Linked DNA regions of Lytechinus pictus. The protein of the gene in region 1 binds, or shares a complex with, the protein of each later gene. Links are inferred from orthologs where the notes say so. Each region holds a gene or a part of one and is shown on either strand. Other genes may lie near its edges. The genes, in order: glutamyl-tRNA(Gln) amidotransferase subunit B, mitochondrial-like; glutamyl-tRNA(Gln) amidotransferase subunit C, mitochondrial-like.

The links.
Region 2: glutamyl-tRNA(Gln) amidotransferase subunit B, mitochondrial-like (region 1) and glutamyl-tRNA(Gln) amidotransferase subunit C, mitochondrial-like share a complex: the UniProt entries of both Drosophila melanogaster proteins name them as parts of the heterotrimeric GatCAB amidotransferase (AdT) complex. The link is inferred for Lytechinus pictus from reciprocal best matches to the Drosophila melanogaster genes GatB and GatC.

What each region holds. Positions count from the first base shown.
Region 1 is NC_087249.1:39,942,953-39,958,833, forward strand, and holds the start of glutamyl-tRNA(Gln) amidotransferase subunit B, mitochondrial-like, read right to left. Parts: upstream 6,624-15,881; 5' UTR 6,609-6,623; coding exon 6,469-6,608; intron 5,468-6,468; exon of another isoform or gene 5,372-5,467; intron 2,688-5,371; coding exon 2,534-2,687; intron 1-2,533. UniProt on the Drosophila melanogaster protein: Allows the formation of correctly charged Gln-tRNA(Gln) through the transamidation of misacylated Glu-tRNA(Gln) in the mitochondria. The reaction takes place in the presence of glutamine and ATP through an activated gamma-phospho-Glu-tRNA(Gln).
Region 2 is NC_087246.1:15,549,853-15,564,967, forward strand, and holds glutamyl-tRNA(Gln) amidotransferase subunit C, mitochondrial-like, read right to left. Parts: upstream 7,813-15,115; 5' UTR 7,723-7,812; coding exon 7,624-7,722; intron 7,479-7,623; exon of another isoform or gene 7,379-7,478; coding exon of another isoform or gene 7,325-7,378; intron 4,776-7,324; coding exon 4,731-4,775; intron 4,192-4,730; coding exon 4,025-4,191; intron 3,296-4,024; coding exon 3,192-3,295; intron 2,496-3,191; coding exon 2,425-2,495; 3' UTR 778-2,424; downstream 1-777. UniProt on the Drosophila melanogaster protein: Allows the formation of correctly charged Gln-tRNA(Gln) through the transamidation of misacylated Glu-tRNA(Gln) in the mitochondria. The reaction takes place in the presence of glutamine and ATP through an activated gamma-phospho-Glu-tRNA(Gln).

The DNA.
Region 1 (15,881 bases):
AACAGATATGTAAAACAGCTGGAGAAAACACAAGTTAAAGAAAATAAACAAGATAAGAAAATGACAAAATAACCATCTTACACATGTATGTTTCTATAACAAAAAATATTCAAGGTTGAAATTTCCAAGGGAGAGAGGTAAAAATGTAACAACTGATAGAAAAATATAAGAAAGTTGTCCTGATTAATAAACATACAGCCAGCTTTCTTGGGAAATCATTACTTAATAGAAAAGGAATGAAGATTACTTAAGAGAATGAAAGGACTTCAGAGTGGAAAGAATGAATGGCAACTGAATATATCAAAAGAGAATGAAAGTTTGATCCTTCCATTATCTTTATTTTGATTTGTTGTTATTCCTGGAGAATAGACTAGTCGGGTAGTAGAGACCACATTGCCCGAATTCACAAAGGTGGTTTTAAAAGGTTTATACAAATTTCCTGTATAAATGACACCCATTTACCACATATAATAAACAACGACCAATGCTGATGCACGCTTTTGTCACAGTGCGCCAAATGTACGCCTGTTGCCATGGTTAACACGCTTTTATTCACGAGTCCACTGTTTTGAAGAGTGGACTCATGAATTAAAATAGCATGCTCAACCATGGCAACTGGTGTCCATTTGGAGCACTGTGACTAACACGCGCATCAGTATTGTACATTTTTTAAAATATAACTGAAGCATATTTCATACAGGAAATCTGCATAAACTATGGGTTCAAACCTATGGTTTTCAAAATTACCTTTGTGAATTAGGGCCAATGGGTGTAGCTGATGTAGTGTTAGCCCGGGGGGGGGGGGGGGCACTTACATTGTCAAGTGGATACCATGCGCGACCAAAAAAAACATGTAACAAGTGGAATGCCTCTGGCCGTCTCACCTGCATCACGCGATTCAATATAGCAGCAGTGCTGATTTTGAAAACTACTATAACTCGCACAAGATGTTCAGTGATACTTGGTTACTCTTATTTCCACGTTTTATGAACTAGACCAATACACTTATAGAGATATGATGGCAATTCAACAAATACCCCCAACGTGGCCAAAGTTCTTTGACCTTACATGACCTTTGACCTTGATCATGTGACCTGAAACTCGCACAGGATGTTCAGTGATACTTGATTACTATTATGTCCAAGTTTTATGAACTAGACCAATACACTTATAGAGATATGATGGCAATTCAACAAATACCCCCAACGTGGCCAAAGTTCTTTGACCTTACATGACCTTTGACCTTGATCATGTGACCTGAAACTCGCACAGGATGTTCAGTGATACTTGATTACTATTATGTCCAAGTTTTATGAACTAGACCAACACACTTTCAAATTTATGGCTGTAATTCAACAAATACCCCAATTTGGCCAAAGTTCATTGACCCTAAATGACCTTTGACCTTGATCATGTGACCTGAAACTTGCACAGGATGTTCAGTAATACTTGATTACTATTATGTGTAAGTTTCATGAATCAGATCCATAAACTTTCAAAGTTATGATGGTAATTCAACAGATACCCCCAATTCGGCCAAAGTTCATTGACCATAAATGACCTTTGACCTTGGTCATGTGACGTGAAACTCATGCAGGATGTTCAGTGATACTTGATTAACCTTATGTATAAGTTTCATGAACTAGGTCCATATATTTTCTAAGTTATGATGACATTTCAAAAACTTAACCTTAGGTTAAGATTTTGATGTTGATTCCCCCAACATGGTCTAAGTTCATTGACCCTAAATGACCTTTGACCTTGGTCATGTGACATGAAACTCAGGCAGGATGTTCAGTAATACTTGATTAACCTTATGGCCAAGTTTCATGAACTAGGTCCATATACTTTCTAAGTTATGCTGTCATTTCAAAAACTTAACCTCAGGTTAAGATTTGGTGTTGACGCCGCCGTCGCCGCCGTCGGAAAAGCGGCGCCTATAGTCTCACTCTGCTATGCAGGTGAGACAAAAATGATGTCTTTTTCAAGATAGGGCACGTTACGTACGTAACATAAGGGTGTCAAAAATACTAAAATAATGAAAAAAGGGTATCTATTTTCGCTGGGAAAGCTTCGTGTTTAGGGCAAAATTTGCGAGGGTATGAAAAATTAAGACTAATATGTTTTATAAAGGATGTACTCTTTGCCCCAAGAGTCAACACTACGTGGGGGCTGTACTAAACCCAATGATGTAGGTAAAGGTGAAACCGACGACTGACGTCCGCGACATAATTGAAATATCGCTGTACTTGTTTAGGGGTTCAATTCAGGAAATACTTGCCAATAGTAAAGTTTTGTTTCCAATACTTGTTAAGGGATGGGGTTTCACAAGCCAATACTTGTCAAGGGGTGCATTTTCAGAACATGGAAAATACGTGTTTAGGGTGCTTTTCAAGACCCCATGGTCGCGCATGGTATCCACTCGTCAATGGAAGTGGCCCCCCCCCCCCCCCCCCCCCCCGGAGTGTTAGTTAATACTACCCGACAAATAATAGACCAATTGCTAGTAAATAAGCCTCCCAACTATACTAACCGGAAGAGTACCTGGCAGAGAGGCATCAAAAAAAGAGACTAGCGAGTTTGGTGGTGCCATGAATTGGGCCTTAGAAGCAGAAAATAGTTTGGTATTGGAGAGTATCTGGGCATGAATCTCAAGGCCAACCATGCTGGACCATCCTTCAAATGAACTATAGAAATAAAATTATCAAAAACATGAAAATTCTTTAAAAATATTACTACTGAGGAGAAGACAACAAAGAGGAAGAGGGGAAAGAGGAAGAGAGGGAGGAAGAGTAGAAAGAGGGAGGAGGAAAAATGAGAAGGAAGAGACTGAGGCCGAGGACAATGAGGAGACAGGGGAGAAGGAAAGGGAAGAAAGAGGAAAAGCAAGAGGAAAAGCAAGAGGAAAAGGACATGGAGAAGGAAAAATGAGAAGGAAGAGGCCGATGAGGAAAATGAGAAGAAATGGTCCCCCCCCCCCCCCCGAGTCCGCATTCCTAGCTTAAGTTTAACACTGAACAGTGCAGTTTCATTTGTCATTTTGGCGACGTGTGCTTGATGCAAACCACTCATTCTATGATATAACCCTGTTCTCTATTACTACTCCCTGTGTGGTGAAATAAGGTTGGCAATGTTTGGCTTATTTTCTCTCTTTCTTTGGGACAAATGCTTGATTTTTGGCACTGTCAGTTTCCATTACAGCTATTCATCATATAACTTGGCTCTAAAGTAAATTCGATTCTATAAATTATTTTTTCTTAATTAAAAATAGAGATTGAAAAATGAGAATTGTCTTGCCATATAGAGGGCGTACACGAAAATATGCCCAAAATTCAAGTTTTCAAGCGCTCTGGTGAAAAAAGTTACTAATGAAAAATAAATTGCAACTGTATGGACTATGGAAATTAGTATTTTTGGTCACAAAAGTGATATTTTAATGATTTTTTAAATTGTGTGCTGCGTACAGCATTGCCATTGGCATACCAGTCCTACCTGTAGATTCCCCACAGGCAGGATGATAATGAAACCTTGAGTGGATGCAAACAAGTACCAGGCATCTTTGAAATTTGGCGTAGATGCAGTTTCGTACGGGCCGACTTTGAGCAAATTTCCCCACAAGAAATTGTTCGCAAATGTCATCTGATCATGGCAAGTCTCTCAGTCACATTTCAAGGTCAATAAACAATATTCCCAACCGCTTTTCCAAATATCGGGAACGGCTGGATTTCGGCTCCTAGTCCTAGCTCGATCATTATTATCGTTCTAAGTAATATTAACCAGTGGGGAAATTTGCGCTAAGAGTCTTACTAGTAAGACCCTAAGTCCTAACGCCTAAGTCGGGCCTAAGAGTAGGGTGTCTGAAGCCACACTGAAAAGTGTCAGCATAAAACAGGCTGATTTTAGGAAAAATATGGCACATTTTTTCGGGAAATTCAGGCTGCTAGAAAAATGTGATCTGAATTGATTAACTTGTTTGGCATGTATGGAAAGAGAAAATTCAGGGGCTTCTTTTGACATTAAGGACAAGTTTATAGGATTATATGAAATAAGGATTTAGAGATAAATTGCAAACCCTTATTTGTGTGTGTGTTGAGATTGCCATTTCCCCATGCGTTTTCTATGGGAAAATGACATTTCTGTTATGCACAATTTTTTTCACTTTGTCGCAATTTTTCATTGTGATCTGGTTTCCAAGTCTTTATAAAAATCATACCATCAGAAAGCGCATGAAAAATCATATTTGACTCTTCATGGACAAGTTTTTGGCATTAATAATAAATTTATAACAGCTCTCGGAAGCTAAAAATTTGGATTTGTGTGTGTCCATTTCTTAACTACACAGTCTATGGCAGAGAAATGCTGAAAATTGACCTAACTTCATTCTTTTTTGCAGCCAATTATTGGATTAAAAAAAAAATGTTCAATTTCTGTCAGTTTGAAGCCGTGAAGGTCATTATTCTTCAAATTCACAAAGAAAATTTGATATTTTCTTGAAATAAGAAAAAAAAAAAAAATTCTCCAGACACCCTACTAAGTAAGACTCGCAATCGGCCAGTGCAACTGCAGTCTGTAGCCTGAACTGCTGAAGGCTATTAGCGCAAATGAATTTTAATTTCCAAACGCCATGCTTATTAGGACCTGACTAACGTTAATCATTGTTAACAAATGTCAGGGTTTAGCCTAACCCAGGGAGCGCCGGCCCGCGAAGCGGGCCGGCGCCCAGGAGCTCACCGTGTATTTACCAATACTCACAGGACAAGGGTAGATTATGGTCAAAATATCTACATGTAGCAAGATAAATTGTGAAAACAGAAATTATGCACTTACCACGATTATATGGATGAAGGTCTATCGAGTGGTAGAATCCTGACATCCAGGCACAGACTGGAACCTCAAAAAACCGAAAAGTTCTCTCCTTCTACCCCAGTCTCGATCGGCCATTTTGTTATGATTCATAACAAAAATGGCCGATCGAGACTGGGGTAGGAGAGAACTTTTTGTTTTTGAGGTTCCAGTCTGTGCCTCGATGTCAGGATTCTACCACTCGATAGACCTTCATCCATATAATCGTGGTAAGTGCATAATTTCTGTTTTCACAATTTATCTTGCTAGATATTTTGACCATAATCTACCCTTGTCCCACTCACACTAATACGAGGTTAGTATATGTACTAACCTCGTACAAGGGACCGTGTTTGACCCTGGATTTCGAAGTAGTCGGCAAACATCGCTTCATTGCTGAAGTAATATCTGCCGAAACTCCTTCTCGCTAAGCACCGGGGCTCTTTCCGGTAAGTAGCAATACATAAACAAATTATACATATGATTTTGAAATAATTTCATTATAATAAAAAGAGCAAATTTCGCTTACCTCGGCCTAGCAAGTGACTTCGTTTGTCTCTTCTACGGAAATACAAGGAAGCCCGTTGGTGGCGCTAATAAATTTCACAACCTTGATTCAGCTCCTCTGTAATTTTATAAGTATAACTGTCTAAATTCTTTGAATGCGCAATTCTTATGATTAATTTACTAATTATGGGCACCAATAAATGAAATACAGTTCAAAAATATAATTCAAGATTACTATTGGCGATGATAACACTTTTTTGCAATTAATTTAAAACGATGACTAATAAAATAAAATTGAGAAAAATACACATGCCTGGAACGAAACCAGCAGTACAACAATTGAACAAGCTTTAACGAACGTCAATAATACGGTATACCAAAGTCTATACAATGAAAAGATTGGACACTTCACGGACTTCGCGTAATACCTTGCGTGGATTTGCGTGTAAAATAGTGTAGGTGCCTAGTCTTTCCCTTGTCATGTCTTTGATATGAATATTAATATAAATCGCGCGCCCTCTTTAGGAGAAAATTGATATCCACGCCAACCAATTTTTATCTCCGTGAAATCTTCACTAAAGATCAAGAAAATATAGGGCCTACATATTTTTTAAAAGAAACTTCAAGGAGAAGTCACGGAAGGATCTAAATGATTTGGTAAGTGTCATACTCATACTCATAGCAGAATGTGAAATACCATTTGTATTTGTAATAGGCCTACCAGATTATGCGTGATATTTTATGTGGGCAAAAGCCCAGTATATTTTGGATGTGTCGTGTGAATATGACTGATATTCTTTCGCACGCGAGACGATATGAACCCATGGGTGCACTTGTCCCGTGAGTATGGGTAAATACACGGTCGGTGAGCTCCTGGGCGCCGGCCCGCGCTCCCTGCCCCTGGGTTAGGTTTAGCCTTTACTTTAGGCCACGCCCACGCCGCCTTCATTCGGCAGCGGCGCTCTTGAGTTAGCGACGCCGACAGCTCCGGCCTCGTTCGTCCCGCGGTTGTGTTCATTTTGCCGGCCGTGCACTGCAGCGCCGCGACCCGGCCGAGCCGAGATTGTCTCGGTGCAATTCCACGCAAAGTCAGACGACTTCACAATGATTAATACTAACCAATCAGAAGTTACAGAATAATTTCTTCGTTTTATTGCTCTCCAACCACTATAAGATCTTCTCAAGGAAATCACAACCGGTTTTTGGAAGGCAGAAAACCTCCACGATGTGCTCATGCAAGCTGCCATCTTTAAAAACATCGAATGTGCAGAGCGCCCTCTTGCGCTTGTACGCGCACGCATGAGGAATGCACGGGAAGAATGTTCCCAAATATAATTTATGCGTTTACTTTTTAGCAATTAAAGATTCCCCCTTTTTTAAAGTATTTAGCATTGTGCTTTTTTTTTATTTATCCCCTCCCCCCCCCAAAAAAAAAAGAGCGAAACTATCAAAATAAAGATAACACAGAAGCCAACTGATGAAAAGTAAGAGAATTGAGCATTTAATTTTGTAATTCTATTTGGTTAAAAAAAATATTTTACTTATTTTATGATGAAAATTTGTATTATCTTTAAAAATAGAAAAGAAAAGCGGGTGTAGCAATTCGGACTATTACTAAGGGTTGTTAGTTATACATGACTTTGCTTATGACTAAGAACAGGTTCTTAAGTGCCACATCAAATTCTCAAGATTTCCGTCAGCCCCCGGCCGGCCGTTAGCTAAAAGTTGAAATCTGATTATTGTAACGTTAGACAAAAACTCTTGTCAACCAGCATCTGAATGCATATTTCAAAATTTGTCAATAATCTAAGGGCAACAGGGAGTTCATACCCATTACGTTAAAAAAACATGTAAATTGGGATCTCTCAGTTTTAGTGCAGGATGAAGAGCCCAGTTCATAACTTGTAACAAATTTGCAATTACGGTTAAATAAAGCTACTGAAATCCTTCAATCTGATGATAAATTTGATGTGGGAGTTGTGCGTTTGTTATTGTAACAAGTGTTTATGAAACAAGACCTGATGCGTTGCCAGTCATGTGTCATTAGTTACTTACAAACAGCTAGTTTTATGAAAAACCCCATTTATCAGGCCTGCCAACATTTGAAAATGAAAAAAAAAGGTATAATCGCACGGCGCAGATTTTTCTGCTCGATGTCAGGTGTGTCTCCCTCACTTTTTTTTTTAATCAAGACATGTTTAGCATTCTTATATTTAAATATTGAGAAATTACACGTTTTGAAAAACTATATTACTCTCACACCCATACCCCGCCACACAAATACATGTACACGGGCCAATTTTTTTTTTTATCTTAAATAAATGAAAAACGGAGTGCTCCTCTTTTGCTGGTTGATAACAAATCTCAAAAGTGGGGTAACTCCAGGAAAAAAAGTAGTTGGCAGGCCAGATATATTATCAGAAGGGAAATTCCATGAAAGGATCAAAATGTTGGTATTGCCAATCCCCACCCCCCCCCCCCCCGGCCCCCACACACACAGTTCTTCTGCATTTTAACTTTGACTTCATGAATTTCTGAAACCATGATGACTTACCCACATTGTGCTGCACTCAACTCAGGTGAGGAACGCAAATGGGTACCGGCAGATGGTAATTCCTCAAAAAGCTGTGAGCACCAGAATTGGTAGACTAGCTAAGCCAGGTTAATATGGGAGCGCCTTGAGCACTTAAGGTGGTTATATGTGCTATATAAATCCTATATCATTTATTATTACATGTATTTATTTATTTGAAAGCATTACAACTTTTGGTTCCACGACATTTGTTACAGTGACATTTGCTCTATAAATGCAACACACTAATCAAATGACTAACTTCAACCCTGGATTTAACACTATACCCTACCTTAAACCTAACATAAAACCCTATTGCAACCCTAACCCCAAAACTACGTCTTAGACGAAATGAAAATAAAGAACAATTGTCGCAGAAGCAAATGTTGCGTCACCCAACTTTTCATATTTAATATCCAATTTAGTATTTAATAAGGACGCATTTGGCAGTGATATGCGCTATATAAGCATGTTGGTATTATTATATATTCACTGAAAAACTGAGGCAAATTGTTTCAGGAAGTTCCCACATATAAGGGATCATAATTATGTACACACTTTATGGAATTTCCAAAAATTTCACATGTCAAATGTAGGTCTTCTCTATCAATGAGATTTCATTTTCTTTTCTTTTTTCTGTTGGAGAGTTAAATAAATCACTCACAATACTACTAACTTCTTTAAAGGGAAATGCTATCAGAGAAGAAATCAATAAAAACATTATTTTTATATAATTTCACATTTATTATGATATATCTCATCTACACCACATCATAGTCTCATTTCTGGGTCTGGTTTCATAAAGAGTGGTTAAAATAACAAATGCACATTTTCTATATCAAGTTTACAATCAGCCAATCAAATCGAATGATTTAATTTGCTTTAAACTGTTATTGAAAAATTTGGTATTATAACCAGTTATATGAAACGGGCCCCAGCTCTGTAGGATTCACATTCATTTATATACTAAACATTATGAAAATCTCCACAGCCTACCTGCACATTACCAAATATAATCCCACTAAACAAATTCCCAAGATAACCAAGAACTTAGGCAGTTTTACAAAATGATGTTGTGGTGGCTTGATTATGGTGACATTTGTGCTTTGCACAAACAATGAAATCACACATCCTTGATGCATAAAACTGACACTAAAATAAATTTTCTTGTATAATAATAAAACATCCTTTGCTAACATAATTGTATGTATTTACTGATGGCATACTAAGTATTAACCACCTCAAAAAACAATGGCATGACTAACAAAACAAAGATAAAGTATGATTTAATCAGTTCAGGAAGAACATATAATATTTCAACTTCTTCCAATCTAGAAGGCTTGCCCATCAAACTTTAGCTTGGAGAAACTGATTTTCGATATATTAACAATTTCGTTTAACAATCTTGTTAGAAATATACCCTGACAAGCCTTATCTTTTTGAGCATATGACACAGAATTTGAGAATTATTAAAAGTAAAAATAATTTTGCACGAAAATATATATCACATTATCAAGATGAATCTGTCATATTGCTTTTAGGTGCTATAAGCAAAGTATGACTGCTTTGCAATCACTTTCAACCATGTAATTATATTACAAGCTGTAAAAAATAAAATCTTTGTAGTTCATAATGCAGTATCTGAAATACTGGTGACATTACACTCAATATATTTAAAATTTGTGAAATCCTACATTTTATAACCCCTTCCTTTCACAAATACTACAATTTTACCATTTAACTTTATTTTAGAAAGAAAGGATAAATAGAATGCAATATCTAACTGACCAAAGAATTTGGTTTGACTGACAGTTTTTCAAAGTGTAGGACAACACTCAAACACTAGCTAATCACTTCACAGAAAACCTTCTGGGTTGCATGCGTGCACATTAAGTTATTGAAGCAATCATCAGACACGGACAGATACAAAGACTTAATCAGTCACTATCAGTAGTCCCCAGCTCTGCCGAATATTTCTTTTGGTGGAATACAAACTATGATTGTCAACAAAACATGTAATGCATAAAGTCGCTCGTAATTTCATGAAACACCGGACCGGACATTAATGCGTTTAATAGAAGAGGTATCAATTACAAACACTTCAGGAAGAGGAAAGGATAACGTTGAGGGCTGCCACAAAATACAACCTTGCCTGGCATTGCATCGGCCAGCTAATATATTTGATATGAATCCCACCGCTGCCACCAATAAGGATCTATGGCATCGGGTCAAAGTGCACTGGTAGGAAAGGGTGATGGAGGTAGTCAGACGTCGGACAATGCAGCAATACCTGGTAGGTTCTTGCCTGTATGGGATATGAAGCAAAAGAATGAAGAAAATTCTTACAAATTGGTAAATAACAGAGCACAGAATACTTAAACAATAAAGCGAGATGAATTCTCAAAGACAAACTTGAATTTCATGCCTCTGGCATATGTAAAGATAGAGAGGGAGCAGATGGCAAAGGGTGATTTTCATGATATAGGTGGGGTGCATCTCACTTGCTTCCACCCCCCCCCCCCCTGAGTCTATATCTTTCTATACAACATACCTTCCAAGAGCTCTAGACTAGCCCCGCCTCCAGTACTGACATGGCTGACGAGATGCTCAGTGTTATACTTTGCTGCACACGTCGCAGTATCACCTCCGCCTGTCATAACAAAAATATATACATTTTTTTTTAATTTTTAAGACAATAACATATTACAATATTTCTCACCAGCAATCCCAAACCCCCTCCCCCTCCTTATCACAAACCCTCCCCAAATGGATTAAGATTCAGAGGTGGATCTATGCCCCAGGATTGGCTCCTGTGTTTGAACTTTGGTTACTATCAATTGTATGCCAGTGACAACAATGATAATAATATATTGGACTTTTATAGCGCCGAATCCACTCTGTAGAGTGCTCAAGGCGCTATTCAAGAATTATGAAGGAAATTAAGAAGAACTGAATAGCAATGCTTTTAGGGTTATTTTTGTATACAAAAACTCCTCATAGGTAAAAGTGATTGGCTGATAGTAAATTTGGCTGTAGAAATTTGAATGTGTTAATGACAGGTTTTATGAAATGGGACCCATGCTGACTGAATGTTTATGTTGGGATGAAATGTAAACCCAAAGGACAATATTCTGAAATCCCCATTTAACTTAGTCTGAGGTCATGGTCTAATTCTGTGGCAAAATGGAGGTGCCGTGGCCGAGTGGTCAAAGGCGCCTGACTGCACATAGAAAGTCCAGGGTTCTATCCTCGGCCGCAACACTTACGCCCATAAACAAGGCAATTGATCTACAATGTTTTTATCCCGCATTCAAATAAATGAAAAATGCTACACACATTCTTGCTAAGTAGGTGTGCACTTGTTGTTAAAAAAAAAATTCTGTGGCAAAATTATAGGAAGCCAACAAATTTCTTGTTACCATGTTCTTTCATTAATAATGATGAAGGAAATTATATAAGAAATTACTATAAAATACTTCAAAATGAATTGAGCACCAAATGTGCTGACAAACGGATCCTTGTCTCACAATTGGCTATCCATAGTTAAACCATGACTTCGAAGTTGTGGCAAAATTATAGGAAGCCAACAAATTTCTTGTTACCATGTTCTTTCATTAATAATGATGAAGGAAATTATATAAGAAATTACTATAAAATACTTCAAAATGAATTGAGCACCAAATGTGCTGACAAACAGATCCTTGTCTCACAATTGGCTATCCATAGTTAAACCATGACTTCGAAGTTCAGAATAAGGGTCAGAGGATCTTGAGCACAAAAATGTCAAAATAACTTAATGAATGGATGGATGGATGGGTTGGTGGGTGGGTGGACGGGTGATGGATGGATTGATGAATGAATGAATGAATCAAATAATCAATCACAATCGATCAATGAATCAATCAACCACTAATCAATGAATCATTCACTCAGTAAACCAATCAAATAGCCAATCAATCAATCAATCAAAAGATGAATGAATGGATGGATGGGTGGATGGATGGGTGGATGGATTGATGAATGAGTGATTAGACAGTCAGACCGCAGCTCGCGCGATAATGAGCATATTCACGGAGATTTATTCAGCGGCCCTCTAGCGGTCTCCGAAGGAAAACGTGCGATCAATTTGGCTTGATTTTCCCACTGAATTGGAGGGGCTGAAGTTATAGCTCTGCACTGGTCGCTAACTTCAGTTTACGTCGAAACGAATTGTGGTAAGTTATTCTCAAGACCTTCATCTACATTTTGGTATATAATTTTCCATATTTCGACATTTTCAACCTACCATTTTTACCTCTTTAATTGATGCTTATCTTAGTAATATTTTAACTGCGATTTTGTAGTCGGAATTTCACTTTTGGTTCCTGACTTTGCTACATAACCAAATTGTTTGAATCGGGATTTTTTAGAAAGAAGAAAAGTCACTTTTCAAAATATGTCAGAACCAACTTGACGCAAACTCACCTTATATTTTTATTTTAGAGAAAATGATACCCTAAAAATCAAGAAATTTACGTTTTACCCGGAAGTAACCTTCTCGTTCACTCCACGATGGCGCGAAATAATGCCAAAATTACGTTCGTCGCGGGTTGGTAGAATTTCGCCTTTGGTCCCATACGTTGAAACTTCTGTAATGATGGCAGATGGCTCGCATTATATTTGTGACTGTGGACGGTGGACTTGTTTTTTTTTTTTAATTAAGACTTAATAATAATATAAACGAAGCTTGATAAGTAGATCCCTTCTAAAGTTTTATTCAAATGATTATCAGGTTTCCGAATTCCATCAAGTTTTTATAGATTGAGATATTTCTTGATTTATGTTGAAAATTGTTAACCTTTTTCCTAGTCGAAGTTGAGCCCCATGATGATTTTTGCCCCAGGCTGCGGTTAAGAATTAAATGATGATTAGCTCAGACAGTCTACTCTAGAGACTATAAACAGTTTAAAGTCAAAGTAAAAAGTCTGGTACTACCGTACTCAGTAGTATTTATAAACCATTTTGTTCAAATAAAAAAATTGTGGCTGTCACAGACAGTACTTAGTTAGTCTCTTAATTGACTTACATGTAACATAATTCATACTTTGAATAATTTAGACTATTTCTCTCTTTTTTGTCTCTTCTACACACAGATCTGCATACTTGCTGACTCTGGTCTCTGCTTGCTTCTTCATTCTGGGAGATTCCATCATGTCCTATAATGGTCAGACCATGATTTGGACAAAGCCCTTTTTTCGTTTGCAAATTTTGGACTGATAATGATACAACAGAAAATTGATCTTTATCGATATTGGAAACAAAAAAATTAGAGCACAGTTTTGGGGAGGACTAAGAATACTGACTTGGACAGGAATACAGCTTGACAAAAATAAAAATTCACAATTCAAAACCAAAGAAAATTTTTAATGCATTGCAAGAAACTTTCTACTCAATCACACATTCCAAAATTAAGGGTAAGTCCTTTGATTAAACACAAACATGTAGTTGATTTGCAATTGAACATAAGTTTCTTGCAATGCCCCATAATTATATTTTGTTCTCAAGCAACTCTGTTATATGTTATCTAATGTGCTGAAGGTTAAGTGCCATGTATGTTCACAATTTTTTTTTTCGAAAGGTATAATATATTTGTCGTTTTAAACGGTATTTGAATGTGGTTACGCCTTGTTTTTGTTTTCCACAGTAATTATTGCATATATGAACAGAAGTGAAATATTTGTTGTGAAGCACTGTATGAATGTTGTGTGATCATGGAGCTATGGTGTGATGGTATTATAATTAATTCATAATTTTTGCTATAAGACTGTAAACCTGGTGGATGTGAGGGAGTGGCCTGGATGAAAGGAAAGTGAGCATGTGTCCAATTACTGATTTGCATATGTTTAGACAATTTTGATCGTGGATAAATATTAATGTGCATTCCCTATTCCAAGCAAAGAGTAAAGGAGAAGTCCACCCCACCAAAAAATTAATTTGAATTTAAAGAAAAATAAAGTATTGCAGAGAATTTCATAAAAACTGATTCAAAATTCAAAAAATTACTATTTTGACATTGAGAAATTTGCCTAATTTTATAAAACAATTATATGCTCATCTTGGTCAATGTGCAAATTACAGAACCGATTATGTCACACGCACTCTAATTTCTTGTGTATTTTTTTGTTTGATACATGTACATGACATGTATATTTTATTTTAATTTTCATTAACAAATTTTGAGAGGGATTTTAATTCCTCCATTAACATTCGTAGTTTCCATAAATGTAACCTATTGTACGAAGCCCCAAACCGGACATTTTTGACATCCAAAAAAAAAAAAAATTATCACGTACGTACGCAGTATACGTACGTACGTGATAATTATTACGTACGTACGCAGTATTATTACGTACGTACGCAGTATTATTATGTACGTACGTGATAATTATTACGTACGTACGCAGTATTATCACGTACGTACGCAGTATTATTACGTACGTACGTGATAATTATTACGTACGTACGCAGTATTATTACGTACGTACGTGATAATTATTACGTACGTACGCAGTATTATCACGTACGTACGCAGTATTATTACGTACGTACGTGATAATTATTACGTACGTACGCAGTATTATCACGTACGTACGCAGTATTTATTACGTACGTACGTAATGTTATCTCCCAAAAGGTCATACATGAATTCAAATACCGGTAGTTACTGAAATCTGATCACGCTAGCGCGAAGCCCGCAGGCTTTAAATTTTTATGTGGGCCTACAATAGGCCTTCTGCTTTGATTGTTCCCGCATAGAATTTCCCTTTAAATACCAGCCTCTTCAAATAGTTTTTCTTTTTTTAAACACCTATACATCTTCACTTAATTTACATCAATTAATACCATATCATATTCAAATTTAAGCAGAGAACGAAGCAATTTCAAAAGGGTGGTAAAATAATAGGGGCTCATACGTGTCGCGTGTGGGTACATTTTTGAAAAAAACTGTCTCGCCAAAACACTAACATAATAGGCCTTTAATTGTCCTTTCCCCAATGTGTTTCTAGCAGTTTCTGAAAGGAATGGTTTAATTGAAAACACAGCCTGATGACGAGAACAAATGAAATGGTTATCATATGAATATTGTGGGTTATATAGCAGGGACCTGGGAACTCGCGGGGGTGCTGGGGGTGTTATTTTCCATAGGCAGCACCCCCACGAAATCAGGTTCCCTTTGTATTTTTTATATATGTTATAATGTACATAATTATCACATCCGACAATCGCAAATCATACAACGTCTTTCACATATTCCAATAACATCCCTCCTATAACATGTAACGCGACTCAATCAAGCTCCGGCACGCCGATACAGACGTATGTTAAGGTCTTAAAGAGGACCTGAGCTTAACGTGTAACTCGCCGGGTAAGTTCGCGATAAAGTGTTAATTGCAATTATAATGTACGCGCGCGCACCGAATGCGGAGTTTGTGCGAGAAAATCACTTCAGTTCAGTAGTACACTGTTCCCCGACGGTACCATCAATATTCCATAAAACATGTGAGTATTAATACAGAAAGAATAATACAATTTCAGTTTATGTAATATAATTCGGCGCGTGAATTTATACAATCTATGGTCTACCGCATTCCATTCGTTATTCGTATGTAATTGCCTTGAATACTCTTGCCAGTCTTGGCTGCTCTAAGTTAGGCCCAGGTAACCCAGGGAGCTCCCGCCCGCTACGCTGGCGGGAGCCCAGGGCGCTTACCGTGTATTTGGCCATAGACACCCTGCAGTATAGACACGGGACTAGGGTAATATGTGGACTGAAGTTATTATTATTATTGCCTCCCCCTCTCCAAATGAAAATATGTTAAGTGCCGGCCCAGATTTACTTTTTAAATCCATGTTATTCTAATTTTTTTTAATATTCACGCACAATACACTCTATTAATTCTGCTTAAGTTTTTCTTCCTTT
Region 2 (15,115 bases), on another chromosome or scaffold:
GTTTTTGAAAATTTGAGAGTCTGACGAGTATGATGCACATTTATTGAAATATATTGATATAACCTCAATTGTTTTGTCTGCATCTATTCGCATTATTTGCATCTTTTTGTAATTTGCACTCAACATCAATACTTATTCAAAATACATACCATCGTATGTTGTGGTCCATAGTAAACTGGGTGGTGTTTCATCAGGCTTTTTGTAAATTATAAGTAGTAATCCTTTCTTGGGTGCTAATCAGATTCTCAAATCTCAATCATTTCGATTCCCATCAGCTACATTTAAAATCTGAGGCCCGTTTCATAAAGGACTTGCAACTTTTGTAACTTTGCCATTATGGCAACTACCATGGAAATCTTGATTTTGATTGGCTGATGAGCCCTGTTACCATGGTAGTTGCCATAATGGCAAAGTTACAGCAGTTGCAAGTCCTTTATGAAACGGGCCCCAGATCTTTGTCCAATAACATTCTCATTAACAGGCATCTAATGAGATAAGTTTCAAAGTTTTATTAGGGTTATAGGAAGTGCACTTCCATTATGTTTTAACAAAAAAATCATCAGATTTTCACAGCTTGTCACATTTGTGAACGGTTTTATGAAATGCCCCCTGTACTGTTTGCAGTTTTAACAATTAGCGTTCACTTATTATTCAACTTGGAGTTAGATACATGTTCTTCTTCATCATATGCAGGTTAAGTTTCTTTTGTAATGATTTATATTAAAATTTAGTGTATGATATGGGTAGTCGTAAGAGTAGAAATGACACAAGTTCTTATTTCAAAATATTTAGTTACATTTATTTTCATTTCTTGATTATCTGTGTTGGAAATGCAAAATCTTGTATTGAAATTGCCTTTATCACACATAAAACCAGAAAAGTTGTCTGTCTAGACTTAAGAGTTTTGGGCATTTACTAATCTGATCTTGCATTTTGAATCAATAATATTAATAGTAATAATAATTATTATATTAATGAAATTTATACTTACATCTAGTTACATTAATATTATTATATTGATATATCTAGGCTCTCACTCAATAAATGAATATCAAATGCCACTTGTACACAAATGAAAAACAAATAAACCAGTAACCATCTTTCAGTAGTTGGTATCAACTGTACTTTACATGCATTTTGTTTGTAGGCTCTTGATGATTTCAAAAATATTTTAGGTCAAATCACCCAATTACATAGTAGGTAAGCGTATTTAAGCATCGCGCTGTGCAATGCTATTTGCGCATCAATTTCAATTGCAAATTGTGCATTATTTTTACTGTATCATGAATAATTCCTTTCAAGGTTTACTCACAAAGTGCAGGGTTTTGGAGTCCTATTGTCTTGATTTCTCCTTGTTAAACAATAATTTAAATAAGGGTACTTATAAAGATAAAACCATTACACCCTGCTTGTTCTTAAAAGAGCCAGGTTATTTGGACCCCTATCACAGCCGAGGGGGGGGGGCGGATTCCACCCCTCCCCCCCTCTGAGATCTCGGCATTTCGATCGCACAAGCGCCACGAAAATTTGCACAGTGGTAGTGTGCAGTAAAATATACAAGGCTGTATGGTTAATAATAAAAAAAAAGATTTTTCATTTCATGAATTAATTATGCTAATTTATTCATGAAGTAAAACATTTGCTCTAATCAACTATCATATGGCCCCAAAACTGCAATTTTTTTATTCATAAACTCTTTGTAGGATCCCGATCAAAATTTGGTATTGGTTTTTTTTTTATTTCCTATGTATTTCTTTGTTTATCGACTTTCTGTTTTTCATTGTTTTTTATAATGGAAATTGTTGTAGACTTAATTCTGATCATGAACAAGACAAAATTAATTAAGTGTAATCAGTAAAAGTAGAAATAATGATACATTTATGAATTTTGGCTAAATACACAATTTGCATTGGATTTGTACATGAATTCACGCTTTTGAGCAGTTTTGGGTCTGACATGCACTTACATAATGTTGCGTTATTTCGTAATCGCATACCCGGGCATCGCAAATTTGGTCTCAAGAGTTGTGCGAGATTTGAAAGTAAAAGGTCAGCGAGCGGTGCAGTTGAAAAATTTCGCGTGGTGGATTTATCATGAAAAATGTAGAGGGGGGCAGAATCCGCCCCCCTGGGCTTTTGAGGGTTAAGGTGACAGCGGTGGGATTATATTAAGGGCATGTTACATACACAGATACCATTGATTTTACAACTGATTGTAAATTTCTGTCAAAGTTTTGTCATATACTCAGAGTTATTTATCATTCTAGAATTGATCATCATTTATATTACAAGCCCTATGATATAAATATTGCTCTAGAAAACATAAAAGTCTCTATTATCAGCTTGCTCCTTTACACTAAGAGATCATGGTGGTTCTCTGATTTACTTAAAAATGTTCAATTTTATCAAACCATCTTGATTCCTGTCATCTGTCTTCATCCTTTCTGATTCCATCTAAAACTTGTTGGGTAACTTGAGAAGACAGAGGGATGTTTCCTAAGAACATAAAGAGTGATCATGCAAGAGTAGAGAGTTGCTTTCAAGAAAGATGGGGAAAATTACTTCAGGACTCCCCATCCCAACTCATAAAAGGTAGAAAAATAATTGTATTTGTGAGTTTAAAATGAGAAAATGTCCAGTTAACAATGTTCAACATCATTACTACCCATTTCAGTGACCCTCTGCAACACTGTCCTTGTCACTTTGTGTCTGTTTATGTTGAAACCTTTTTAAGCCTTCTTATTTAACAGCTATCTTAGAAATGGCAACAACACTTTGTTTTCATTACTGCACGTCTAATTCAGAATTTATGTAATCCAAAAAATAGGAATTAATGAAGAACAGTTTTGATATTTTTCATGGAAATACAGTGATTTTGATATTTGACATTTCCCCTAAAAGAGCTAATTTACAGATCTTTAATTAAACTTTCTTTCAGATAATTTCTGTAAGATGGAATGAATGAAAAAGACGCAATGAAGAAGTGATGAGTTCATGTAGAGTTTCTTTGTTTTCCGATGCATTCTGTATTCAATTTTAGGCCTCTGCATAAAAGTCAGGGCCAAATATTTTTTTGTGAGGTCACTTTGTCACAAATAGGTTTAGCTCAATCTGATATCTCAATTTCCAAAGGGATAACAATCGATCCCAAACCTACCACTCAAAATAAAGTGAGATGAAAAATTAACCTACCAGGAGGAGCAACAAAGTATCCTTCACATGTCTTGGCAGCATTCATGAGAATCTCCTCTGTGCAGTAGCCTTCAGTTACTGTGTCATCTCTCAAGTATAACTCTCTATGAAAACAATAACACAAGATGAAAGAATGTCTAATAATAAATTGAACTGAGTTGGAGTTGGCTCTTTAATATAACTTTCTTGCAAAACAGGCACTCAAATTATATTTTGACAAGGGTGCCTGTCAAAAACTTGAAATTGAGGTCTAAGCAACTGACTACAAGGTGTAAATTTGGGGCCTTGGCAGCTATGGTCTATTGGGCAGAGTCTGGGGAACTGCATATTGTATATGTTAAATGTACCACAATAACAGAGCGTACTTAATATCTGTATTCTATTTTTAATAGTCTATCTATATTCTTTGGCTGCAGTCTTTTATACCTGATCATCTGTACATATATGGCCACTGCCCCACTCTTGCATAGGGGCTGTGGTTGCTCCAGGCTACTGAGTATTCTTGTAGTACTTGTTTACATATTCAAGCTGAAATATCAATGGCCATCAAACACAGATGCAGTGCAATGACCATTTATCCATGCTACTGTCTCTAACAACTTTTACAGAAATTATGCAACATTGTCAGGTTAATACATCTTAAAACCTATCTGGAAATGAACAGTAAAGTATATTACTTGATTAGTAATATACATGGGTATATCAATCCAGAAAAAAAGGAACATATAGTAACAAGAGGAAAAGTCACATAAGGCTACATCAATTAAACAACCTATTATAAATCAAGATTTATCTTTATAATGGCATGTTTTGCTGTGCTACACTATACTCACGTATCTTCAAGGACCGATGCCATCGGTTGTATTCCACTGGTATCAACATCATCAAGTTGCTCTGCAAGGGTGATGGCATGCTCCAGTCTCTCAACACCAGCTGAACTGTTAAAATTGACAAGCGCTAACCTCTCTAGGTTTTCAATGGTCTGAGGATCCACCTTAACCTACAGGGAGATAAGAAACAATTGATAATGAAACACTCTTTGCGATTTTGCGATATCTATTACAACTAAATGCTCTTGTGAGTGGTGAATTAAAAACACAAGGGTGAGCATATAATCAAAATCAATATCATGACATTATGGTTACTCAGAAACCCTAACACCGACAAAAATAAGAACTGCAAATTAACAGAGGGTGATATCATTTTCATATAATGGCTCAGATTTTTCATAAATTACACACAATTTCCATAGATTAAAATAGTTAACAATTTTCAGATTATTACAGCTCATATATCTGAGCTATTTTCAGGTATCATAGCAAGATTTTAAGTTTTGTCACTGTTAATTAAGAATTATCAAAATCTTTACTTTGAGTTGGGAAATGAAGAAGGAGATAATACAGCATCTATTGACATTAAATATATTTCTTAATATTTTTAATTATAATTATCACAACTATTTCAAAATAATAACTTTTTTTAATACACACTGACATGGTTAGTGACTGTTCTTCACAAACATTCTGAAAACATTATTACCTTCTTTTTCTGTTTTGTATCTCTCCATTGGGGTTTCTCAGGAATCTATGGAAAAAGTAAAAATAAACTAGAGGGAATTAACACGTTTCTAACATCAGCGAATGCATTTTAATGATGATACTGCTATTACTGCATTGACTCAACATGATGATGTCACTCAACAAATTGGTGTATTTAGCTGGCATGGAGACGATTAGTGAGAAAAAATATTTAAAAGCCTTCATATATCTCAAACATAAGCACAAAAAAAAGCTGTGATTCATCTATCACATCTTCAACGAAAAGCATTGTATGTCATGTGTGCTTTCTCAAAAACATCAATAATCTCAATCTCAATTTTCAATCTACCTTTTGCATTGGACAGACTGGCTGCTCTTTTTTCTGTTTTTTTTTGGATTGGAAAAGTATTCAGGGAGTGATAAGTGAGACCTTCATATCGAGTAAAGATACATCTGTAAGTTGGAACTTGGAAGTTGGATGTAAATAACAGGGGCCGCGGAACGGTTTTCAAAGTGGGGGGGCTGAGCCAAAAGTGGGGGGGCTGACCATGCAAAAAATCACAATCGTATGGTCATTTTTACGTTTTTGTACATTGTTTGGGAAAAAAGTGGGGGGGCTGAAGCCCCCCCAGCCCCCCCCCCCCGCTTCCGTGGCCCCTGAATAATCATATACTATCTGATTGATACACACCTTTAAAAGAGTCGCTGCATTGAGCTGCACCGTGAGCCTGCATTATATTCAGAGACCCTTTCAAACTGAAAGAAACCTGCCACATGCTTTGAAAATATGGTGCAGATTCCATATTTTTTGTGGCAAAATTTGGCTTTTCAGATGGGATTTTATAGTTGAAATTGTTTTTTTCCTGTGGTGAGTGACACTGCCTACAATGTATTTGTTTGTATGTTATTGTGGTGATTGAATGTGCTGGCTTGTAAAAATAAATCTATGGAGGTATAGTGAAGCTTCTCTACACCTCCTCCATCAATTAATCTCATTCTTTCACTCTGTACAGGCAGATACCCAAAATTTAATTCTTGATTTTTACCATTAAATCCATTAATTCAACATTTTTCATCAAAATACCTGTTTATGAATAACCGGAAGTTTTGAAAATAATGAAGCAAGATGTAGACTAGCCTGAAAGCTTCATCACATCATCAGGATGCGGATGAATAGGATTTCTCCTGTAGATATCCGGTCTTAACGTCATGGTTGATTGCTACTCTCCTGTTCTATGGTTCAATTTAAACTTGATGTGCATTTGGAATTAGTGGTAGGCCTATTTTAATCTCTCATTCCACCAAAATTTATCAAGCCTATTTCTAAAACTTTCCACTGACTTTGCCTCTTCAGTACTAGTAAAGCCAAAAAGTGTTGATTGTCCAAGAAAACGTGGACACCCTCACAAACTGAGACAAATCATTCTTGATAAATTGAGAGTGTATTCGTTATTGAGGACAATTTTTTTTCACTCCCCCTGCACATGCTGCAGGACATAGTTAGCTATTACAGAGATTGAAGGTAGTCTGCAGGCACAGACCCTGATTGGAACTTTGATCAATAAGTGTGCCTCCACGCAAAGACTAGCACATACAAAACTTGCTGTTCCAATACCCTTCAGCACACAAGGCATGAGTAGGCTGCACATTCAGACCCTTAACTCGAGTGAAGGGTTTGCCCAGCAGACTAGATTGAAGGTGCTAAAAACAGATTCAGTGACCTCAATTCCCCCAGTTCACCATCTATTTTTTAATGACGTGCCATCTTCCAATAACCTTGAAACCTTCAGTAGGACAAAAGATCGAGATCTGATGCAAATGCAAAATGATCCCGATCTTTTGTCCTATCATATATTCATATTAATGAATTAAGTTGCGATTTCCGCGCATGCGCAATCTGCGTTTGCGATGTTTTGGAATCGGCAGTGAATTAATATATGTGAGGAAACCGATACTGACTCTAAATCACCAATTTTGAGACTGATAAAACTTAGAAGTGTGGAAAAGAAGTGAAACTTTGCGAATTGTAAGAGTTGTTACAAATGAATTGTAAGGTCATCGTGTTGCATGAGTTTTATATTTTTCCCCCATAAAGTAACACCTTTGTCACTCGGAGTATCAGAGTGAGCTTTGCACCTTGATATTCAGGTAGGAGTAGGAGTAGCGTAGTGTAGCGGTAGTGAAGTGGAGCCTACACAAACATCACTTGAGGTACAGGCGCACAAGCCACAACTGCACTAGCATGACTAGCACCATTAATTTCTCATGACCAAGTTGATCAATAACTCATGACAGTATTTCCACAGCACAGATCCAAAATAAATTTCCTGGAATTTTCAAGTTCGATATTTATTAACAAAAATTTGACAATACAGCGAGCTTAAAATTGGTTTAACCTATTTTTGTTCACACACTTTTTTGAAATAGGAACAAACTAATGAAACACGAGCAAGCGTGAGCAGAAAATTTTGAGCTACATATGGGGCAAACGATTCTGTAATTGTAACTAATAAAGTAACTTTACTTGTAAGTTGTATTTAATTTTCTGATTTCCCTAGCTGAATTTCCTGAAATTTTTTATTTCCCCAAAATTACCTGAAATGATCCAGAATTCGGGAAATTTCCTTCAAGGTGGAAACTCTGACTCATGATCACATGTCAACTGATGAGTGAGTCGACAATAACATGTTTCCCAAACACCACAGCCACAGGAGGCCGCGCGCTGCATGACTACAACAAAACTATGAATAACAGCGGCCGGCGCTCGCTTGCCATCGGGCCGGGCGGGCGTAGAGTGGCTTGCAGGATAGCGGCGCGGTGACTGCTAAATCAGTTCAGCGCCAGCTGCAGGCTGCGTTTGATGTGCCTGAGCTAGGCCTGACTAGTTAACTTACCTTTGAATTAGAGGTGGTATACTTGTTGCAGAAAAATCTTCTTGCTACTGGCACAGAATGTGACCTTACAAATCTGGATATGATGTGAATCACTGACATTTTTCACTTTTTTGTTCAAGCAGCAGTTCTTTTCCGAAATGTACGGTAATAGTCTTGGTGGTAGTTCCCCAAATTATTTATTTATCGGCTGAGATGGCGCTAAACAACTTTTCTGAACGGGGCCGCCGACACGAACGGGACAGAGAGAGCTCTTTCTTTTTGCAATAAATAAAATTCATATAGGCCTTATCCCCATTATCCCGGGTGCCGTAAGGAAATGAATGAATAGATTACGGAAATAAATTCTCTAACAAACAGAAATAAATGAATGAATATTTGTTATAAAATGAATAAAAACAGCACAGGGAACTGGCATTGTGTATGAAATTTGCAAAGTCAATCAGCCTCCAGCCCAGAGGCGGATCCAGCTTTCGCCAATGAGGGAAGGGGTAAAAAAAATATTTTCATCCACATTTTCCTCCATCTGCCGCTTATATTTGTTGTTTTATGAGGGGTGTTGTTACATGTCTATAACTAGGATGAATCGGATTCGGTCTTGGAGGACATATAAATGAATATTGAGAGTCTTATTGCTGTATTCATCTCGGGATTCATCTGCCCCGCATTGTAGTTTGGGTATATCGAAATAAGGGGGTAGTGATAAATAAAGACTGAAGTTTTGAGCCTCTTAGCTTTCTTCTTTTCTTGTAATCATGAACAATATGCATATATCAATTAAACGATTAATGGGAGCGCGAAGCGCGAGTTGAACATTTTTAATGTACTGTCCTACAAAAGGGCTTGTTAAGGATTGTTTGCAATGACTCGTGAATAATCCACCGCTGATCAAAAATGCGAGTGCGAAGCGCGAGCTAAAAATGTTTGATATTTCGACCTTAAAACTTAAGTTCTAAGCAGTTTTTTGTAACCATGAACAGGATGGGTATATACATGCAACTGAACGATTGATGTCAGCGCCATCCGAAAATGTTTACTTTCCAACCTGAAAACTGGACAGTCTATGCACTTTTTGTAACTGCATGTGCATGACTAAACATTTATAAATGCGAGCGCGAGATGGAAGTGTTATTTATATACTGACCTGAAAAGGGATCCATTAAATGGGTACTCCATGTAGGCTGATAAATGATTTGAACAGATTAAGAAAACAGACAAACAAAACACTGAAAATTGGACGAGGAATAACAAGGTTATGTCAGCATTTTGTAAGCCTATTATTTCGATGAAGAAGTTTTACGAATGTCCTCATGAATATGCAATGAGCAGGTTAATGTCATAATTTATTCATATTCCTTTACATTTTATTATATGAAATTATATTTATTCATTTTTTTTCCTCAAAGCATGAAAACAAAAACTGGACTGACAACTAAGTTTATATGTAAGAAAATCATTGCTGTACCTTTTATTTTTACCAAGGCAGACTTTATACACACGCGTATGAAAATATGAATTTATTACGATTTAATGTAATAACATCAGAAAATGCTATAGGTACCCTAATTGTTGATTTGAATCAATATATAAAATAATTGCAAGTATAACGCTGACAATATCATCAAAATCAGATGTGAAATAAGAATGTTATGTCATTTTAAAGTTTCGCTTAATAAAAACGTAAATGAAGAGTTTAGTTGCAAAAAGGGTTAGGTCCACATTGGACCATTCCGAGAAAAAACATGTTTTTTATTCTCACTTATTGCAATATTCTTATGAGAAACTAAATTGTCATGATGTACTACTCTATCATGTGAACATAAAATGGGAATAAAAGAAATCTACCTGTCTTCAATTTTTTTCTATATATTAAAAAAAAAATCATCATTGTGGACCTAACCCCTTTTGCAAGTAAACTGAAATTAATCCAATCTCTTTTGATTAAAAACAAATATTTTTCTTTGCCACTTTCATTCACGTTTTCATTTGAATTTCAAATTGTCTTTGGTATCATCAGAGTGACTGAAAATTTAGAGGTTTAGAGACAGAAAACAATAATATTTATGAAAAATGGACCTAACCCCTTTTGACAAATGAGTTCTTCAGAAGAGTTTAATTGCAAAAGGGGTTAGGTCCACTCCAAGAAAATCATTTTTTTAATTCTCCCATATTGCCATATTCTTATGCGAAACTGAATTTTCATGATGCCCTACCATGAGAACATAAAATTGGGTATAAGAGAAATCTACCTGTCTTTATATTTTTTATGATATTCTTTTCCAAAAAAAATCTGTGTGGACCTATAACCCCTTTTGCAACTAAACTGAAATGGACCTAACCCCTTTGAAAAAAAAAAGTGATTTTTCTTTGCCATTTTAGTTCACTTTTTAATAGGAATTTCAACTTTTCTTCGGTATCATCTTATAGAGCTACTAAAAATCTTTACATTAAGACACAAAAATCAAATTTGATGAAAAATGGACCTAACCCTTTTACATGTGATCTCTTCAAATATGTATAAAAAAAAGTTCGCTTATTTTGTTACCAAACAGTTATATGCAATTTTTAGCTAATTTTTTCTTCATATTAAGACCTTAAACAGGATATTCAAAGCAATGTAATCATTAAATGATAAGGGTGTACATAAAGACAATGAGAGTTTTATTATTATTATTATTCTATACGACATGGAAGCCGAACTCTTTTTGCCATTATGGACAGTATATTTGTTTAATCAAACAATATTAATGCAAGTGCGAAGCGCGAGCTATTTGTTTTCTATATTCTGACCTGAAAAGGGACCTAAAAAGAAATGTTTGCATGCAGTGACTCATAAAGGGGATTCATATTTCACAACGCGAGCGTGTATAGCACGAGCTGAAAATTTTGACACCCGGCTTGACAACTGAACGTTACAAGCACTTTTTTTTTTCATTTTTTAAAATAAAGAACAAGATCTGTATCACATTATCATCATTATTATTATTTGACAAATGAAGATACAACACAAAGAATAGGCCTACATATAACAATTTGTAGAACAAAGAATTAACAATAATATAAATAAACCAATAAAATAATCATTGCGATTGCAATTAGAGCGCATGCAAGCTATTATTTCGAATAGTGACATAGCAAAATCAAACAAACAAAAATCCCAAAACATTCTAATTATGAACTTTTTGTATTAATGAAACGAAAGGCCGATGTGCTTTTATAATGTAAGGGCGAAGCGTGAGAAATTGAGGAATAGCTGTGTATCTAAATATATTCGAGCGCGAAGCGCGAGCGGAAATTTATATAACCTGACCGGAAAGGAAATCTCTTAAGCACTGTTCAACATAATTATCCATGGAGGATTGTGGACCTAACCCCTTTTGCAAGTAAACTGAAATTAATCCAATCTCTTTTGATTAAAAACAAATATTTTTCTTTGCCACTTTCATTCACGTTTTCATTTGAATTTCAAATTGTCTTTGGTATCATCAGAGTGACTGAAAATTTAGAGGTTTAGAGACAGAAAACAATAATATTTATGAAAAATGGACCTAACCCCTTTTGACAAATGAGTTCTTCAGAAGAGTTTAATTGCAAAAGGGGTTAGGTCCACTCCAAGAAAATCATTTTTTTAATTCTCCCATATTGCCATATTCTTATGCGAAACTGAATTTTCATGATGCCCTACCATGAGAACATAAAATTGGGTATAAGAGAAATCTACCTGTCTTTATATTTTTTATGATATTCTTTTCCAAAAAAAAATCTGTGTGGACCTATAACCCCTTTTGCAACTAAACTGAAATGGACCTAACCCCTTTGAAAAAAAAAAGTGATTTTTCTTTGCCATTTTAGTTCACTTTTTAATAGGAATTTCAACTTTTCTTCGGTATCATCTTATAGAGCTACTAAAAATCTTTACATTAAGACATAAAAATCAAATTTGATGAAAAATGGACCTAACCCTTTTACATGTGATCTCTTCAAATATGTATAAAAAAAAGTTCGCTTATTTTGTTACCAAACAGTTATATGCAATTTTTAGCTAATTTTTTCTTCATATTAAGACCTTAAACAGGATATTCAAAGCAATGTAATCATTAAATGATAAGGGTGTACATAAAGACAATGAGAGTTTTATTATTATTATTATTCTATACGACATGGAAGCCGAACTCTTTTTGCCATTATGGACAGTATATTTGTTTAATCAAACAATATTAATGCAAGTGCGAAGCGCGAGCTATTTGTTTTCTATATTCTGACCTGAAAAGGGACCTAAAAAGAAATGTTTGCATGCAGTGACTCATAAAGGGGATTCATATTTCACAACGCGAGCGTGTATAGCACGAGCTGAAAATTTTGACACCCGGCTTGACAACTGAACGTTACAAGCACTTTTTTTTTCATTTTTTAAAATAAAGAACAAGATCTGTATCACATTATCATCATTATTATTATTTGACAAATGAAGATACAACACAAAGAATAGGCCTACATATAACAATTTGTAGAACAAAGAATTAACAATAATATAAATAAACCAATAAAATAATCATTGCGATTGCAATTAGAGCGCATGCAAGCTATTATTTCGAATAGTGACATAGCAAAATCAAACAAACAAAAATCCCAAAACATTCTAATTATGAACTTTTTGTATTAATGAAACGGAAGGCCGATGTGCTTTTATAATGTAAGGGCGAAGCGTGAGAAATTGAGGAATAGCTGTGTATCTAAATATATTCGAGCGCGAAGCGCGAGCGGAAATTTATATAACCTGACCGGAAAGGAAATCTCTTAAGCACTGTTCAACATAATTATCCATGGAGAAACATGTGCAGAAGATGATGGTTCTCACTTACTTCATGCGTACACCGCCGCGAAGCGAGAACTGAAATTTGTTGGCGATAAATTAAAGGGGAATCCAGCCTTGGTCATAAAATGTTGTGTCAAAAGGAGAAAAATAAATTTAAAAAAATGGTGAAAGTTTGAAAGAAATTGGACAAGCAAGAAAAAAGTTATGGCTGCTTTAAAATTAATATCCCTAAGACTATGTAGATTTCAAATTGGCAACTGAGTAAGTAGGACCCTAAATTATGACAAGGGGCAAGGACAACTTTCCCATAGGCCATGTACTTTATTATCAGGGATTTGTGGTTTTCATCTTAGTACCCATTCCCCTGGGGCAGTAATCAAAATATAACACAGGTAGCATATTGTTATATGTCCTCATGAAAGAAAAATATAATTTAAAGTAAAACTTTTGAAAAAATGACACTTTAACCATTTTATGTATTGGAGTACATGGAAGAGTAGTCCTTGCCTTACATCACTATGCCATCACATAATTATGTGGACATGGCTGTAGTGATTACCAAATTGTACAACTTTAAAAAATTCATAACTTTGTTATTGTTTGGCCGATATTGTTCAAACGTTCACCTATCAACTTGTCTGATTTTTATTTTTCCCCTGAAAACAAGTTTTTATTTGGGTTGGATTCCCCTTTAAATCGATCATGAACCAGGACATTCGATCCATTCGATCTAGGTGATACAGAGAGCTCCTAACCTTTGAATAAAAATAACAACGACAATTTAACGATAAATGTTCAATTTGACATTTACCGACAAAGTTAGTGGGGAAATCAAAGACATGCAGAGCAAGAACTATAGGCCTTATGATGGAACATCGGTGGGTGACCCAAAATTTTCTCATTTTTCCGACAGGCATCTGTCCAACAGTTCTTATTCGGCTTGTCATTATTCCTGGAGACTAACGCCCTTAATTTGTGAGTGATGACTTTCTTTGGTCAAGTTTTACTGATATTAAACGCACTCCTGGGGACCGAGTTTCATCAACATTTTTGTCCGACAAAAAAAAGGTATGAACGACATATTTACATTAGAAAAAATTGACTATGACTCTCAAGGGGGGGGGGGGGGCACGGACCGGAAATGCCCCCCGGCCCTTGGTCCGCCACTGCTGTTGACCCAACTGGCGTACAGATTGGGGGGGGGGGGGCTTGGGGGCATATGGACCCCGCGAGATTTTCACGACTAGAAAAAAATATGGAGAATAATAAGAAATAAAATTATAAGAATTTGACATTTCCTGAACACTATATCTGGTGGGTGTTTCATAAAGCTGTTCGTATGAGCGACTTTTAGAACGACTGGTGATCCTTTCTTGTGGTAAATGGTATTGAATTGGCGATTGTTTAGCACGTTTAAGAAGGGTTCACCAGTCGTTCTCAAAGTCGCTCTTAAAGGGATGGTCCGGGCTGAAAGTATTTACAGCTTAATAAATAGAATAGAATTCACTGAGCAAAATGCCGAAAATTTCATGAAAATCGGATAACAGATAACAAAGTTATTGAATTTTGAAGTTTAGCAATATTTTGTGAAAACAGTCGTTATGAATATTCATTAGGTGGGCTGAGGATGTCACATCCCCTCTTGTTCTTTTGTATTATATTATATGAAATTAGGTTAATTTATTCAATTTTTTCCTCCAAGAACTAGAAAAATTGGATTGACAACTGATTTAGTGCATTAGATATTTATTGCTGCAACTTATTTCATTTTAAGAGAGACATATTATTCACACAAGTATGAAATATTGAAAAAATTATGATTTTATGTAATAATATAAGAAAACGGAAAGTGGAGATGTGACATCATCAGCCCACCTAATGAATATTCATGACGACTGTTTTCACAAAATATTGCTCAATTTTAAACTTCAATAACTTTATTATTTGTTATCCGATTTTGATGAAATTTTCGGCATTTTGCTCAGTAAATTCTACTCTATATGTATTAAGATATAACTATTTTCAGCCCGGACCATCCCTTTAACTTAAGAACAGCTTTATGACACGGCTCCAGAACCTTTCTCAAAGTACGATTTTTAAAAATAGAAATTAAGGTCAATTTTACTTGCTCACTAACTTCACCCCGCTAGAATATTTTTAAAAATGTTGACCTGTACTCCCCTGTACTCCGACTCCGTATGTCCGGCCCCCTCATTTTTTTTAGTCATTACGTCAATACAGGAACTAAATTCTTGTTTGTAAACAAATATAAAGCTAAAATCCATTCAGGTCTTTCCCAACTATACTTTTAAGCTAAATAAATCAAAATAAAGTAAAGTAAAAGCAAATATCAGAAACCCAAAGAAAAAGGGATCAATCGAGTTATCGAATGTATTGGAATAACGGATTACCGAAAGGATGACATCATACACTTAGCCAAGAATTTCACAATACCATTTTTTGACAATGACAGAAACACGTTGTGTTGATTGATGACACGACTCGATAATAACATTTTTGTCAGACGAATTTATTTTTATAGGGATGTCCGTAAGGTACCAACAGTATACTTGATCAAAATACGATTTTAATGAATTTGATTTCTTTTAATAATTCATGGTATTGCTTTTTATAAAGCCTGAAAATATATATATAAAAAATATAAATCGTCGTGGTCTC